3 linked regions of the Nothobranchius furzeri genome follow. The protein of the gene in region 3 purifies or fractionates together with the protein of the main gene of each other region. This does not show direct contact. Links are inferred from orthologs where the notes say so. Each region holds a gene or a part of one and is shown on either strand. Other genes may lie near its edges. The genes, in order: sap18, RNA-binding protein with serine-rich domain 1 and acin1b.

Region 1 (4,327 bases), on a different chromosome or scaffold from region 3:
ATTGCAGAAACAACTAAAACTGGGTTAAGAACTGTCCAACGCATTCTTAAAAACTGGTCTGAGTCCAGATGGACCCTGTTCCAGAGTGATGGTGCATCAGGGTAAGAAGAGAGGCAGATGAAGTGATACACCCATCATGCCTAGTACCTAGTGTACAAGCCTGTGGGGGCAGTGTTATGATCTGTGGTTGCTGCAGGTGGTCGGGTCTAGGTTCAGCAACAGGATGTGCTCCAAGAATGAGGTCAGCTGACTACCTGAATATACTGAATGACCAGGTCATTCCTTCTTCCCTGTTGGCACGGGCATATTCCAAGATGACAATGCCAGGGTTCATCGGGCTCAGATAGTGAAAGAGAGGTTCAGGGAGCATGAGACATCATTTTCACACATGGATTGGTCACCACAGAGTCCAGACCTTAACCCCATTGAGAATCTTTAGGATGTGTTGGAGAAGGCTTTGTGCAGCGGTCTGACTCTACCATCATCAATGCAAGATCTTTGTGAAACTTCAATTCAACACTGGATGGAAATAATTCTTGTGCAGAAACAATGCCACAGTAAATACATGTCGTAATCAAAGCTAAAGACAGTCCAACAAAATATTAGAGTCTGGGAACTTTTAATTTGGTGGTGACTTATTGTTTTGGGCCGTGCAGTGTACAAATGATAAATAACTCACACTTACTGTATATAGCGCTTTTCTGAGTCAGAGAACTTCAAATCGCATTACTCTATAGTGAATATGCAGAAAGAAACCAAGCTAAGTGAAATTAAAAGACGTAAATGATTATATTTCAACGGAGTTTGAATGCAAAATAACCAGGAATCCTGGATAAACTCAATACATTTTTTCGGCTCATTTCATAGGACAATTTGGGTTTTGGCCATCAGATGGTAATGTAACTACCGGTACTTCACGCTATGGTTTTGGCAACCCAATATAGCATATAAATCTCATTTCTCATTTTCTATTTTCTAATAAGAATTTTACCTTAAATTCGTACATTTTGATATTTGAATTAGTCTTGTGTAGGCAGCAAGAGTTGTTTTTATTCGCCCTGTTCTTGCCGTGTGTAATGTTCAATGTTCTAACAATCTTCTGAATTGAAGTCACTATTCAGATTAAAGTGTAGTGTGCTGAGTTCAGTTTCAGAAATTTATGTATTCTAGTTTATATTCTTTTTGGTGAGAAGTGCCAACAGAGAATACTAATGAGTCTGTCACTGAAACTTGAGAGAGCGGTTTGCTTATGTAAAACAATAACTTGCCATCCCTGTAAATTCATGCTGTGTTTTTCTTCTAAACGCTTTTTAAAGTTATTTTTAAAACACAGGATTTTTTTTATTTTTGCCATGTTAACAGTTTCGATCGCTTCTCCAGGAGGTAAAGAAAACCTTTGCTGTGTTTAAAAAATAACCTAAAAACGGAGTAACGTGAATAACTTGCCTTACTTTCACGTGACCGGAAAAGCCTACGCTTTACGTTATGTTCATGTTGCCGTAAAAATATCATCGCTGAAAGACGCAAGTTGCAGCCAGACAGCTTAATAACATTTTAACTGTGTTAAACAAAAATGGCCCTTGAGTCGCGGATCACTCAGGAGGAAATTAAGAAGGAGCCCGAAAAGCCCATCGACCGGGAAAAGGTTAATGTTTGGATAATGTTCAGTAACTCGCTCATCGTGTTGTGTGCTTCTAGCTAACCTTGTTAGCTGGTTTTAAACACTAAAACGGCAGTCGGGAGGAGTAAAAGCTTAAAAAGTGTTTTAAAACGGTCATTTACAGCTATTTAATGTAGCCGTTCTCAATTCTGTGTCGTAAATGTTTTATTTGAACTAAATAAATTAAAATTGTGTATGATTTATCTCGACGGCACCGTCTAGCATGCTAATAAGCTAATGCTAGCAACGCTTTACATGAAAAGACCTCTAAATGTTTTCAGTATTGTAAATGAGTCGGTTTTCCCTGAACAGATAAACATGGTTACATTTGAAAGTTGAAAATAATACTTTTAAGCCTGCATTTTTATTGTTCTTAAGGCAGATAAATAAACTTAAAAAAAGCAAGTATTTTTATTTGTGCTTTTTAACGCGCAAGCACAAGAGTAATAAACAGCAGAAACACAAATAAAACTGTTAAATAAATAAACGAAGGTAGATGTAATTGTCTATTATTTACGTTTAGCAGGAGAAAAAGGGTTGACCATAAGAAAAAATAACGGATATTTGTGAATTATAAATTGATTTTATTTGCTGTAGACTTATACCTGCGAAAACAAATAAGTTTCTATTGGATAATTTACAATAATAAAGAATTGATATAAATAAATATTTTACAATAAGAAATGCTTAATAGAAAAGGGCAATCATATTTCAAATATAGTTTAAGATAACTTTTCTTATTCTGTAAAAAAATTGTAATTTCTGTTTTTGGGTTCAGCCTAATAAAAACATTTTTCCCACATGTGCATTAAAAGGTTGCAGAAAAGTTCACTAAATTTCTTAATCAGGAACCAGATGGCAATCTTAAAAAGCCATTTCTTTCTATCAGCTGTAGGTACTTATTACGGCCACCAGGGGGCAGCGAAGACTCACTTCGGAACTCACTTTGCCCTGATGAAAACTTTCAAAATAAGGTTTATGTAAAAAAAAAATCCAGTTGAATCATTGAAATAACACTGACATTTACATCAGTTATTCTAAATGTGTTCATATATTTAAATCACATGTAAAGAATGTGATATTTATTTGTACTTTTGCTTATGTTTAACTTAGTTTTCTTGTTTCCTTCAGACCTGCCCCCTCCTCCTGAGAGTATTTACTACCAACAGTGGCCGACACCACAGAATAGAGGAATTTTCTAGAGGGAACGTTCCTTCCAGCGAGTTGCAAATCTACACTTGGTAAGACTTACAAACCATTACGTTTCTGGTATATGCTACAGAACCTCTGAAACAAGTGTTTGTTTACATCACAGGATGGATGCTACTCTGAAGGAACTAACTGGTTTAGTGAAGGAAGTGTATCCAGAGGCCAGGAAAAAGGGGACCCACTTCAGCTTTGCCATAGTCTATCCAGAACCCAGAGGGAAAATGTACAAGTAAGTGTCGAGCAACACAGATCGGGGTCGTAAAATCATACTATTGTTCATGAATTCCTGTGGACTGAGTTTGTGCATCTCTTTTTACAATGTTCAGGTTAAAAGAGATCGGCAGTACCATGTCTGGCAGGAAGGGTTTGGAAGACTCCATGACGCTGCAGTCCCAGCGGTTCCAGATTGGAGACTATTTGGACATAGCCATCACACCGCCCAACAGAGCCCCGCCCCTCAACCAACGCATGAGGCCCTTCTGAACGCACATGAAGCGATACATCTGTTTTTGGGTTCTCTTGAGTAGTTTAGCCTCATTTTATAATTCTTCATGTTTAATAAAGCTGTTTTTTCCCTATAGACTGTTGTTGAGTAGTTAATATCAATAATGTGTGTTTGTGAAGAGTTAATTTGCAAAAACAGACCAGTTTTGATCAAACATACCAAACTCACTTGAATGATAATCCTTAATTTAAAAAGTTTTTTTTTTTTTTTTTTTTGCAAATTTGTATAGAGACTTCTCTGTTTCGTTATATAAACTATGTATTTAAGTTAAGGTGCCATCTCCACATTTGACCCATCGCCATAGGGATGGGTGAGCTGTAATTATGGCTGTGCTCAGGAACCAGTTGGTGGTTTAACCCCCAATCCAACCATTTTAAAGTTGAGTGTCAAGCAAGGAGGCATTGGGTCCCATTCTTAAAGTCTTTGGTGTGACACGACTGGGATTTGAACCCCGAATTCCAGACAGGGCGGACACACTACCACTAGACCACTGAGCTGGTATTAAGTCATTTTAAAGAAAAAGATAGACCACGGATAACGTTATTTCAAGCTCTTTGGTGTCTACAAGCTTAAAGTAATGGACGTATGCTTCAACAAACTCAAATGTGGGTATTTGAAAAAGAGACAATGGCAAAGGTCCCCTTTTTCCTGGCCTCTCCATACACTTCCTTTACTAAACCAGTTCGTTCCTTCAGAGTAGCATCCATCCTGTGACGTAATAAGACACTTGTTTCAGATGTGAATTCGTTGTTAGCTCTTATTTTGGAAAGCACAACCGGAAATACTCAACTCCGACAACGCATGCGCGCTGCCGCACACTGAGCTAGCAACGTAGTGGTCATTTAAGGTTTAATTATTTAGAAACAACGAAGGGTTTCACATTAAAACTTCGTGAAATGTTTCGCAGAAAACTAACAGCTCTAGATTATCACGATCCCAGCGGGTTCGACTGC
Region 2 (4,763 bases), on a different chromosome or scaffold from region 3:
TTGCTCACTGCCATTGTGGCTTTCTAGTGTCCGTCTTTCTGAGAACGAACGCATCTCCTCATAGTGAACTGAACATGAAACATTTGTACTCGAGTGACAAAACCTTAGGTAAGATGTACAATTAGTGTCATAAATAAGAGATAGTCTCTCATAGTAATGAGATGCCATTGTAGTTTCTATGCAAGTTCACAAATAGAAAGATCGATGTAAAATATGAACTTTTATTTAACAGTAAGTCACCTTAGAGCTGCTGAGACAAGAAGTTTAACTTGAACATTCAGAAATTCTGTTTCTGCATCTTTATTTTTTAAAAGTTAAAAGGACGTAATACAAGGTAAAAGGAAACAAAATGTTTGTAGATCCCGGTAGAGGCAACATAAAACTAAGCTAACTTTTCTGAATCAACTTAGCACAAAATTTAAGAAAAAATCAAATGGAACAGAAGCACTCTTGCTATGACCACACATACAGCGTAGATGATGGCATTTCTACTGAGTCAAAGGAGTCTGAGAAAACGAGGGTTGTAGCTGATCAGCATCACAGCGTAGAAAACCACATGACATCTGAATGAGTTTATCTGGAGGAGTTGGAGCTGGAGCGAGAGCGATGGCGCCGGCGACCAGGAGACCTGGAGCGGGAACGGCGACGTGCCGGGGATCGTCTCCTTGGAGAACGAGACCTGAAACAACAAAAACGGCATTATTACCTGTACACGTGTGTGTGTTTATGGCTGAAACTGTCTGTAGGCGATACCTCCTCCTCATGCGTGGTGGGCTGCGCCGCCACATAGGAGGTGGTGGGGGCATTCTGCGAGGAGGAGACAGTCTGCGAGGTGGTAGACGGATCCGTTGAGGCAGAACAGCAGCGGCTGTGATTTCCTGTCCGTCAATCTGACCTGTTTTTATAATAGTCATAAAAAATAATCAACACACAGAAAAGACCCCCAGTGTTCCTGAGACCCAGAGGCTGTTAAATTGAACATGCACACCAACCTCCGTCCATGTGTTTAAGGGCCTTCTGTGCCTCCTCAGGGGTCTCAAACTCCACATAAGCATGGCCCTTGCTCAGGTGTGGGTGCATCCTATCCATCTGCATGTCAATCATTTTGATTTTTCCATAAGTGGAAAAGATCTCCTGGATGTGATCCTGGTACAACAGAAATAGAAAGGTCAGATATTCTCTCAACTTTGACACAAAATTATCTTGATGCCAAACAAATAAAACAAACTCTTTATTTTCTCCTTTTTGTTTTGAGCAGAGCATTGCTGATGACTAACACACCCGATGCACACAAGAAAATCTTCTCAGATTTTATCTTTAATTACTACACATTAAGGATGTGCGTGGCTGTTCTTGTGCACTTACATAACCTTGAGATTGCATCATAGTCTCAAATAAAAGCAGACATGATGAGAAAGAGAAAGCAGATGTTCTTCATTTAAGCTAACCTTGGTAACGTTTCTGGTCAGCCTTCCTAAGTGAACCTTAGTGGGTTTGACAATCGGGCTTCGTTTCCTTCGCTCTTTGTCCTCTCCTCTCTTCTGTGTTTTAGACCTGAAAAATCAGAAAGCAGTAAATAAATAACTAGAAACCAAAAGTCATCGTAAACACTGAGACACGAACAAAGACTTACGGTGATCGGGAGCGCCGGCGGTTGTCATGGCGCCTGCGGCTGGGGCTCGGCGAGCCAGAGGAGCTGGAGGAGGATGACGATCGAGAGCTGGACGATCCAGATCGACTGGTGCCAGAAGAGCTGGATCCACTCGAGGAACCTGAGCTAGAACCAGAGCTGCTGCTGGATGATGAGCTAGATCTGGATCCGGTCACAATCAGAACAAATGAAATGGTTTGTTAGGAATTTTTAGCACAGATTTCTCTAGTGATATAACAAATGAGAAGGAACTCAGACCTGCTGCTGCTGCTGCTTCCAGAAGAGGCACTACGACGTTTCCTTACTTTGTCCCGTCCTCTCTCTTTGTCTCCTTCCTTGGTGGCAGTCTTCTCTTTGCCCCTATCTTTAGATTTTTCTTCCTCCTTCCTTTTCGTAGGAGATGGTGCCCTAAAGTGATGTAAACATCTGTTAGTTTAGTTGTTTTACACAAATGGATTTAACAAATCTAAGAGCTACAAATTGTGGGAATGTTCAAATTCATGCAGAATTCAAATCTGGGTCTAATCTGTAATCTCAACAAGCTGAAAATGAAACCCAAAAAGTGTATTTTGTGTTTTCTGTCAGTTAAAATGAAACACAAAGCAACATTTTAACTGTTGTGTTTAATCTTTAATGCTAAGGAATATTTCTTTAGTGTGATGCACTACCATTACTGTGGAATTACCACAGAACGCTAAGTTGTTATTCCAGCTGTTAAAACAACAGACTAGTCAATAAACTTCTGTCTCTTTGTTTAGAATAATTAAACCCCAGTAGGTTTATTTCCTTTTGTGCAACAAAGATTTTTATAATTTTATTTTCTTGAACATTTATCAAAACTACACTGATGTCTCAATTTTAAAATAAATCCCTTAATGTAAAAGCAACTGATAAAAAAAACTAATAACGTTTTTCTCCTAATATTACACAACTTATCTGGCACCAAAAATTCAAGCCGTAAGCTAGCTGAAAGAGACTAAACACGATATACATGATTTATAACTGAAATAAATAAAAACAATCCACATCACACATAGTTTAGGGAGCACCAAATGTCTGCTGGAAATCGTAAACATTTGTTATGTTATTATAGGAAAAAGCAGCACTCAGGCAGAAATCCGCCGCCAACGAGTTTCATTCAGCCCGCTGCCTCTAAACAAGGAGAGCTCCGACCATGCCGTTAACCGATCACTCAGCTCTTCACGCAACAAGCACACGACGGTAAAACACGCCTGGGTTTTCAGAGTTGATTAACTAAGCATCACAACTAAAAACGGACAGTTTTAAGCCAGGAAAGAGCTCAAACCTACATTTTTTATGGACGATGTAGCTCTGCTTCCACCACTTGCGGCCTGTTCGCTTGTCGACGGTTGATGACGCCAGCGGAAGTTGCGTTCCTGCTTGAGCGCCACTTACAACTCATTTGTTTATTTTACGACGTTGACGGTGAAATATCAGCTTGCATTTCCGACATCTCTGTAGAAACACAGACGGACGCGCTTTTGGATATGAAATGAGTTTGTCAAGTTTGAAACGGTGGTGGGGCTTCGCTGTTGTTGACAGAGAGAGAGAGGTACATTAATGACAGATGTTGTTGACAGCTAGCTCAGCTAGCATCTGTTTTCCTGTAGATATGTGTCCAATGTTGACATGTAGATGCGGTTTGAGCTGTTGCGTTGCTGTAGCGCATTACGCGTTAGGACAGTGTTAACAGCTGTCTTTAAGAAGACACAGATCACAGCCATTGACGGACTGCATCAATAAATTCATATTAATCTGTTTTCATTGAGAATGGAAGTTTTGGGGCTTGGTTTGTGTTTTGAAACGTTCACCGTTTGGATTTCTTTTTTAAGGATTCCGGAGTAAAAAGGTGAAATGATCATGCATCATGCCTGTAATTTCACCATGGTTTAACCAGGATTTATTAAGTGAGCTCATATCCACATGCGTGAAACAGCCTCATGCTTGTTTTATAAAAGATTAATTATTTGGTCTCCTGATTACTGGAGTTGATTATTTGTACCTTTCAAATAACCATGTTTAACTGAGGCATTAATGGTCCATCTATTTTCAAGAAACTCCTGAAGACCCTGCTCTTCAGAGAACATCTTCTAAACTAGCACCCTCCCTGCACCCATCCCCTCTCTACTGTCCACTCCTTGTTCTCCATGATTCATCATGCTGCCTCACTGCCACCAACTGACTGGAAATTGTTTGTTGTTGTTACTGTTGTTGTTAGCCTCAAGGGCAACATGCTGATTATCACTTGTAAGTCACTTTGGAATCCAAAGTTTGGACTAAAGCGTCTGCAAAATACATAAACATCTATCTATTTAAATGGATGATTAAAAAATATTTAACCTGAGGTTTTGTTGCAGCCATGTGACTGGATGCTACATACGGTATGTTGATTATACATGTTCATTTCTGAATCAAGTGTGAGCTGAAAGTAGATTTTTATTTGCAGAAACATTATTTCATTTAAAAAAACTTCACTTTTCCTAAAATCTGGTTTCAATACCTGCACAGCCCTAAAACCTACATTTATGTCCCATTCACTTGTGCTTGAGATCATGAAGTAAAACGTGTGTGTAGATATGCTGATGAAGGTTCTCAGTCATCCAGGTCATGGTAACCCAAAGGGTTCAGATGAAGGCAACTGGACTTCTTTAGTTTCTTGAAGACAATTTGCTTCTCATCTGAGGAGCTTTGTCAATTCTAACTGGAATATGGGAGAGTCAAGCTGTCTATTGTTATTTAACGAGCCAAAACTACTCTGGGTACCCGCTTCTCCATCCCCTGATGAGTCGTCAGCCTCTATTGGGAGGGAGTTGTTGTGTTGATTAGATGCAGAAAGGTGTGACCTAGACTGAAACTGCTTGGAGACTCCAAAATTGCAGATACCCTAACTGGGCCTTTGTGAAATATACAAAGAAGTCTGGAAAAGCATCCAAAGCAGCAACCAGCAAAGACCATTTAAGGAGCAAGTCACCCCCCTACCAGAGTCTTACTCCACTTGCACTTCCTATTTGAAAAATGCAACAAATGCAGTTGCCTGGCAGACCGAGAGGGCGGAGCCATTAACAAATAACACACACAGGCTCACAATGGC
Region 3 (4,789 bases):
ACTGACGCGCATCTTGCTGTGAGAGATGGCGGCCGGCGGAACAAGAAGAAATACGGAAGAAACTGAAGAGAAACCCCGGACAAAAACCTCACGAGTTTGGGAGCACTTCACTCTAGATGCCATGAAAAGACGGGAGACCTGCAAAATATGCTAAAACCATCTAGCATGGCACGGAAGCACGACGTCCCTAAGTGAACATTTGAGACGAAAACATGTGGGGGCTGATGCAGCAACAAAGGAGCCAGCCCGGTAAGAAACAGAAAATAAACAAGCTAAATATAGTGGTCCATCACTACATGCAGATCAAATTTGGGACTTAGTGTTTTAGCTGAGTTCGTTATAGTGGATGTTAAACATGTTTTTTTGCCGCGTCAGTCTACGGTGTTCTACTTCTGATTGACTAGATGAAATCGTGAATCTCCTCCGTGTTGTGTATCATGCGCGTGCCAAATTTAGCACGTCTGTTTATAAGAATGTTCTCGTTAAGAGAAAAACGACACAAACCCATAACTATGTTCTTCATTCAAAAAAGGACAACTCCGTGGAGAAAAATATAGACGAGCTGTGTCCAGGTGAATATAACGCGGCATAGTTGTACGCTTTCAATTTTTAAATAAAGGAGAAATTCAGAAAAAGTCATTTTTTTTACTATTAAAAGGCTGTTTTACTATCTAACGCTGTAAAACGCCTCACAACACATTTTTATCAAAATAAATGATCACTGTATATTGTTAATTAATTCAAATAATATAATATTGATTTAGTGTTGTAGTGTGTGTGCTGCTTTATTTTATATGTGTACTTATTTCAGTGTTTCTTATGCAGAAAAAAACAAGCAACGATGGACAACTACAAGGGGAACAAGACACTCACCCCCCAGCAATGCATACCACTTACAAACTCTATTCTAGATTCTGCATTATTTTTTTATGGAATTTACCTCTTATATTTTGATGCCAAAAAATTATTCTGGACTGATATTTTGCACTGTTTAGCTCATTTTACACCGCTGACTGTGTTCATGTGCAATAAAATAGATTGCAGTCAACTGCACAATTCTCTTATGTTTTTCTTAACTGAAATGTATTCATCACTTGTATAGGTTAAATAGCTAAACAATAACAAACCGATTAATCGAAAAAAAATAATAGACAGATTAATCGATTATGAAAATAATCGTTAGTTGCAGCCCTAATCGAAACGCACACTATGCTTTGCGATCAGGAGATCCTTTGATCTGCTCAAAAGTAACTGATGAGGTGAAAAAGTAAGAATCCAGGCAGCAGTTTTTCTGGAGTTTAGAGGAGATGCAGGAAGATGAGAGACAGACAGGACAGGAAAATAGTTAAATAAAACAAGAAAACAAATCTTGAAAGTCAAATGTCGGTAGAGTTATCTCCACTACACGTTTTTATAATAAGTTACAATAAGTTATAAAACAATAAGTTATCCACATGTCATACTCATACATCTGATACAATTCAGATCACCTTCAAAACTCAGTCACACACCCAGGGCCGTTTCAAAGCATTTTAGGGGCCAAAACAAAACAAAACACCCCCCTAACCCATACATAATAGACATGCCACCATTACATTGTTAGCAGCAGAAATTAAATGTTATTAGCAATTCTAATACAAATGCATGTTAATGAAATGCATTATATTTTCCTGGATTTATTTATGTTATTTTGACTAAGATGAGTGTTATTAATACAAACCTAAAATGTTACTGAAATGTAGGTCAAATATTTAAAAATATTTTTAACCATAAATATCAGATGGGAAAAAGGGAACTAAACACTACTCTAATGCATATTATTGAGCCTTTTATAATATTTAGCCTTTAAAAAAGTGAGGCAGTTGAATGCATAGAGTATGCATGTGCTGACGCATGGTCAGGATGGTACCACCTCTGCCTTAATTTGAGCCAGGAAAAACCCTGTAGATATATAATATGCATATTATATATATATATATATATATATATATATATATATATTATATATACACCTCAGTTGAGTTTTTTTATTGAAATTATTCATAATAAATTAATTAATTCACAATTAAATAAATTCCAGGGCATATTATTTATCAAATAACAAGTGGGTTCAACTGAAACTGAATTGCATGTAATCTAGTTAAATCCAGTTCATTCAATTAATTTCCAAATATCCAATTACACCTGAATTAGGATTCTACTTAAAATCCAGTTACAATTTAATCCGATTCAGTACGTTGTAAAAGGTCCGTTGCTTAAATGATGACAAACATCTTTGACCAACAATAAAACTTTCTAAGAGAAAAGTGCAACGTCTTATAGCAACAGATGGGATGCGAGACTTCTTGAATGCTCCTACAAAATAATCCAAATATATATTCATATAAGGAAATGTAACTTTAATCTTTAAATTTTAATTCGATTGGAGCAAAAAAAACGGTGTTTTCTTACTAAATTAAAAATATTTCGAGACTTCAACTAGCATGTTTGCTAACCTTTTTCTGTAGGACGGGTCAGTGGAAACAATTATATAATCAACATTTAAGGCTTCTTTGTGTTCAGTGTTCTGCGTAAAATCACTTATGTGTATGTTAAATACATATCTGACATCAGTGAAAATAAAAACGCACAAGATAACAAAGCTCGTCAATTTGTGTTTACATAGCTGTGCGCGCTCCCGTGCCTCCAGAACACACTCGGATGGCGTGCCCGCGGGTACTGTCAAGTACTGTACACTGTGTGCGGCTGTTGGCTACTCTCAGCTTAGGCCTCGAGTTGACAGGTGCACAGTTCAACTGTGTGCAACACGGTGTTCGGTGACTAGTTACGACTCAACTCGGGCCTCGTTAGGCAGATAGTCCGGTTGTGTTGTCGGTAACAAAGTGCCGTGTTTACTTCTAACACGGTGAGCATGACAATTTCTGGATTCCCGCTTCAACACACCGTTACGGCCTCTAATGTTACCCCCCCTCCTGCCGTCTCTCGCCTCCTGCTGAAGTTAGCCAGACTCGACAGACTAGCAAAGCAAGCGCACAAACTTACCCCTTTGAGTCGCTTAATCAGCGTGTTTTTCTGTCCGCTTTTCGGGAGGTTTCTTTGCTCCAGGGCAGCTTTCAAATCCGCAACTCGGAGCGACTGTAGAGGTTTTCCATCAAGCGTAATATCTTCGTCCGCCATTTTGCTCCCTCCGCTTGTCTAAACTCCCAACAAACGTCGCTACGGCCGCTCGGCGTCACTGCTCGGTAGTTTCCGGAAACGCTCGTTTTTTCAGCCGAATCACACGAACCGAGCCAGTTTCACCCTTCCCGCCACTTATTCAGCTCAATTCAGAACAGTTTTTTATCCTTTTATTTCTTAAAGGAAAACTAGGCCACCGACATTTTTGGTTTAAGAAATATCCGACAGGATCAATAAATAACACCGTTATTCACAGAACCTGAATGGAAAAAAAAAACACAATATGAAAGTTCACGCAAAGCAAAACGCGTTTGTAGTAAAGAATCTATTTGTGCATAATGAACAGACCCAAAACTGACATCAAAAGTAGTGTTAAAAAAACAAGTCCAAGGGTCTTCTCAATACGTTATCAAATACAAACAAAAGCCCCTATACAAAGTAACGGTTGCCATATTTTTACCTTGTAGTGTAAAATATGTATATAAAAATGCTAACACTCAAAATTAAAATCCCCAGGTGAAATATGTGCATAAAAAGGTAAAGAACTTAAAAGCCATGCAAATGTAAAATTAAAGATATGAATAAAAAATAACAAAAATCTAAAGGTTGTCAGTTATATTCTAGCACACAGTGATGGGGTTTGATCTGCTGAGTACTCCTTAGATAATACTTCAAACGTCCAGAAGGTGGCGCTTCATCAAAGCTTTAGACAGTAAAACAAAAGGCATCATGACATTTGAATCCATAAATCAGATCATGTAATTAAATCTTAAAATGTATATCCCTCTTTGTAAAGAAAACAACAACTTGATTTTGTGTTTAAGCTGTAAAATGCAACACATCACTCATGAAGAATACTAAATGTAAACAAACTTAGGTGGGCCGTGCTTTATATTGTAGTTTTCACTCGAGGCCACGGCAGCATCACCTGGAAGGTCAGATTGTGGTGCATACTTTGTGTATAAACCTCAGCGTTTACTTACACGAACATTGCTAATAATGACTAAAAGTAAAGCAGAAGACACCTAAACAAGACATGTTGGGACAGGAGAACTTGGTCAACAGGATTCTGATGACAGAGTGTGAAAAAAAAAAAAAAAAGCTTAGGTAATTCTTCATTCAGCAATCATTAACCATCTTTTAGTTCCTGGGTTGTTAACTCGACATGCATGGGACTGCATGACAGCGAAATAAAAAATCTGTCCAGTCATGTTTCAACCGTTTCTAGCAGAAGACAGATCAAGCATAAAATGTTCGTTAAACACTACCCTTGAAGTGTCACGTTGCTTATTTAAAAGCACAAAACTTCCAGCATGCAGATCAGATTCATAACAAGAAAAAGGGAAGGCCTATCAGGTATCGAGAAAAGCGGGTCAGAAGCAGGATGCCAGGCCTCCTCTTGCACTATTTTTGGACTTGAGAGGGTTGCTAGATAAATAAAGGAAAGGAAATGACTCATGTGTGGGGACAAGAAATATGGCAAGCACATTAAAGCAAAACTCCCAAAATAGCACGTCCACACCGACACTTGGACCACAGCAAGGTTTGAATAAAATATTCAATAAGTTAACACTTAAAAAAACAGAAGGTGTACCATCAAAGCAAAAACGCC

Evidence for each region.
Region 1: the proteins of acin1b (region 3) and sap18 fractionate together in Homo sapiens (co-fractionation; 7 studies listed by BioGRID and IntAct, with this or other methods). This does not show direct contact. The link is inferred for Nothobranchius furzeri from reciprocal best matches to the Homo sapiens genes ACIN1 and SAP18.
Region 2: the proteins of acin1b (region 3) and RNA-binding protein with serine-rich domain 1 purify together in Homo sapiens (affinity purification with mass spectrometry; 6 studies listed by BioGRID and IntAct, with this or other methods). This does not show direct contact. The link is inferred for Nothobranchius furzeri from reciprocal best matches to the Homo sapiens genes ACIN1 and RNPS1.

The regions. Positions count from the first base shown.
Region 1 is NC_091754.1:55,848,021-55,852,347, forward strand, and holds sap18 (histone deacetylase complex subunit SAP18), read left to right. Parts: upstream 1-1,465; 5' UTR 1,466-1,573; coding exon 1,574-1,645; intron 1,646-2,791; coding exon 2,792-2,901; intron 2,902-2,975; coding exon 2,976-3,098; intron 3,099-3,195; coding exon 3,196-3,352; 3' UTR 3,353-3,449; downstream 3,450-4,327. Other genes in the region: rtraf (RNA transcription, translation and transport factor protein), read left to right, coding at 4,271-4,327. UniProt on the Homo sapiens protein: Component of the SIN3-repressing complex. Enhances the ability of SIN3-HDAC1-mediated transcriptional repression. When tethered to the promoter, it can direct the formation of a repressive complex to core histone proteins.
Region 2 is NC_091752.1:58,150,164-58,154,926, reverse strand, and holds RNA-binding protein with serine-rich domain 1, read right to left. Parts: upstream 3,086-4,763; 5' UTR 2,964-3,085; coding exon 2,962-2,963; intron 2,060-2,961; coding exon 1,910-2,059; intron 1,814-1,909; coding exon 1,634-1,813; intron 1,555-1,633; coding exon 1,449-1,554; intron 1,147-1,448; coding exon 993-1,146; intron 896-992; coding exon 754-895; intron 680-753; coding exon 574-679; 3' UTR 285-573; downstream 1-284. UniProt on the Homo sapiens protein: Part of pre- and post-splicing multiprotein mRNP complexes. Auxiliary component of the splicing-dependent multiprotein exon junction complex (EJC) deposited at splice junction on mRNAs.
Region 3 is NC_091742.1:59,513,860-59,518,648, forward strand, and holds the start of acin1b (apoptotic chromatin condensation inducer 1b), read right to left. Parts: upstream 3,322-4,789; 5' UTR 3,178-3,321; coding exon 3,043-3,177; intron 1-3,042.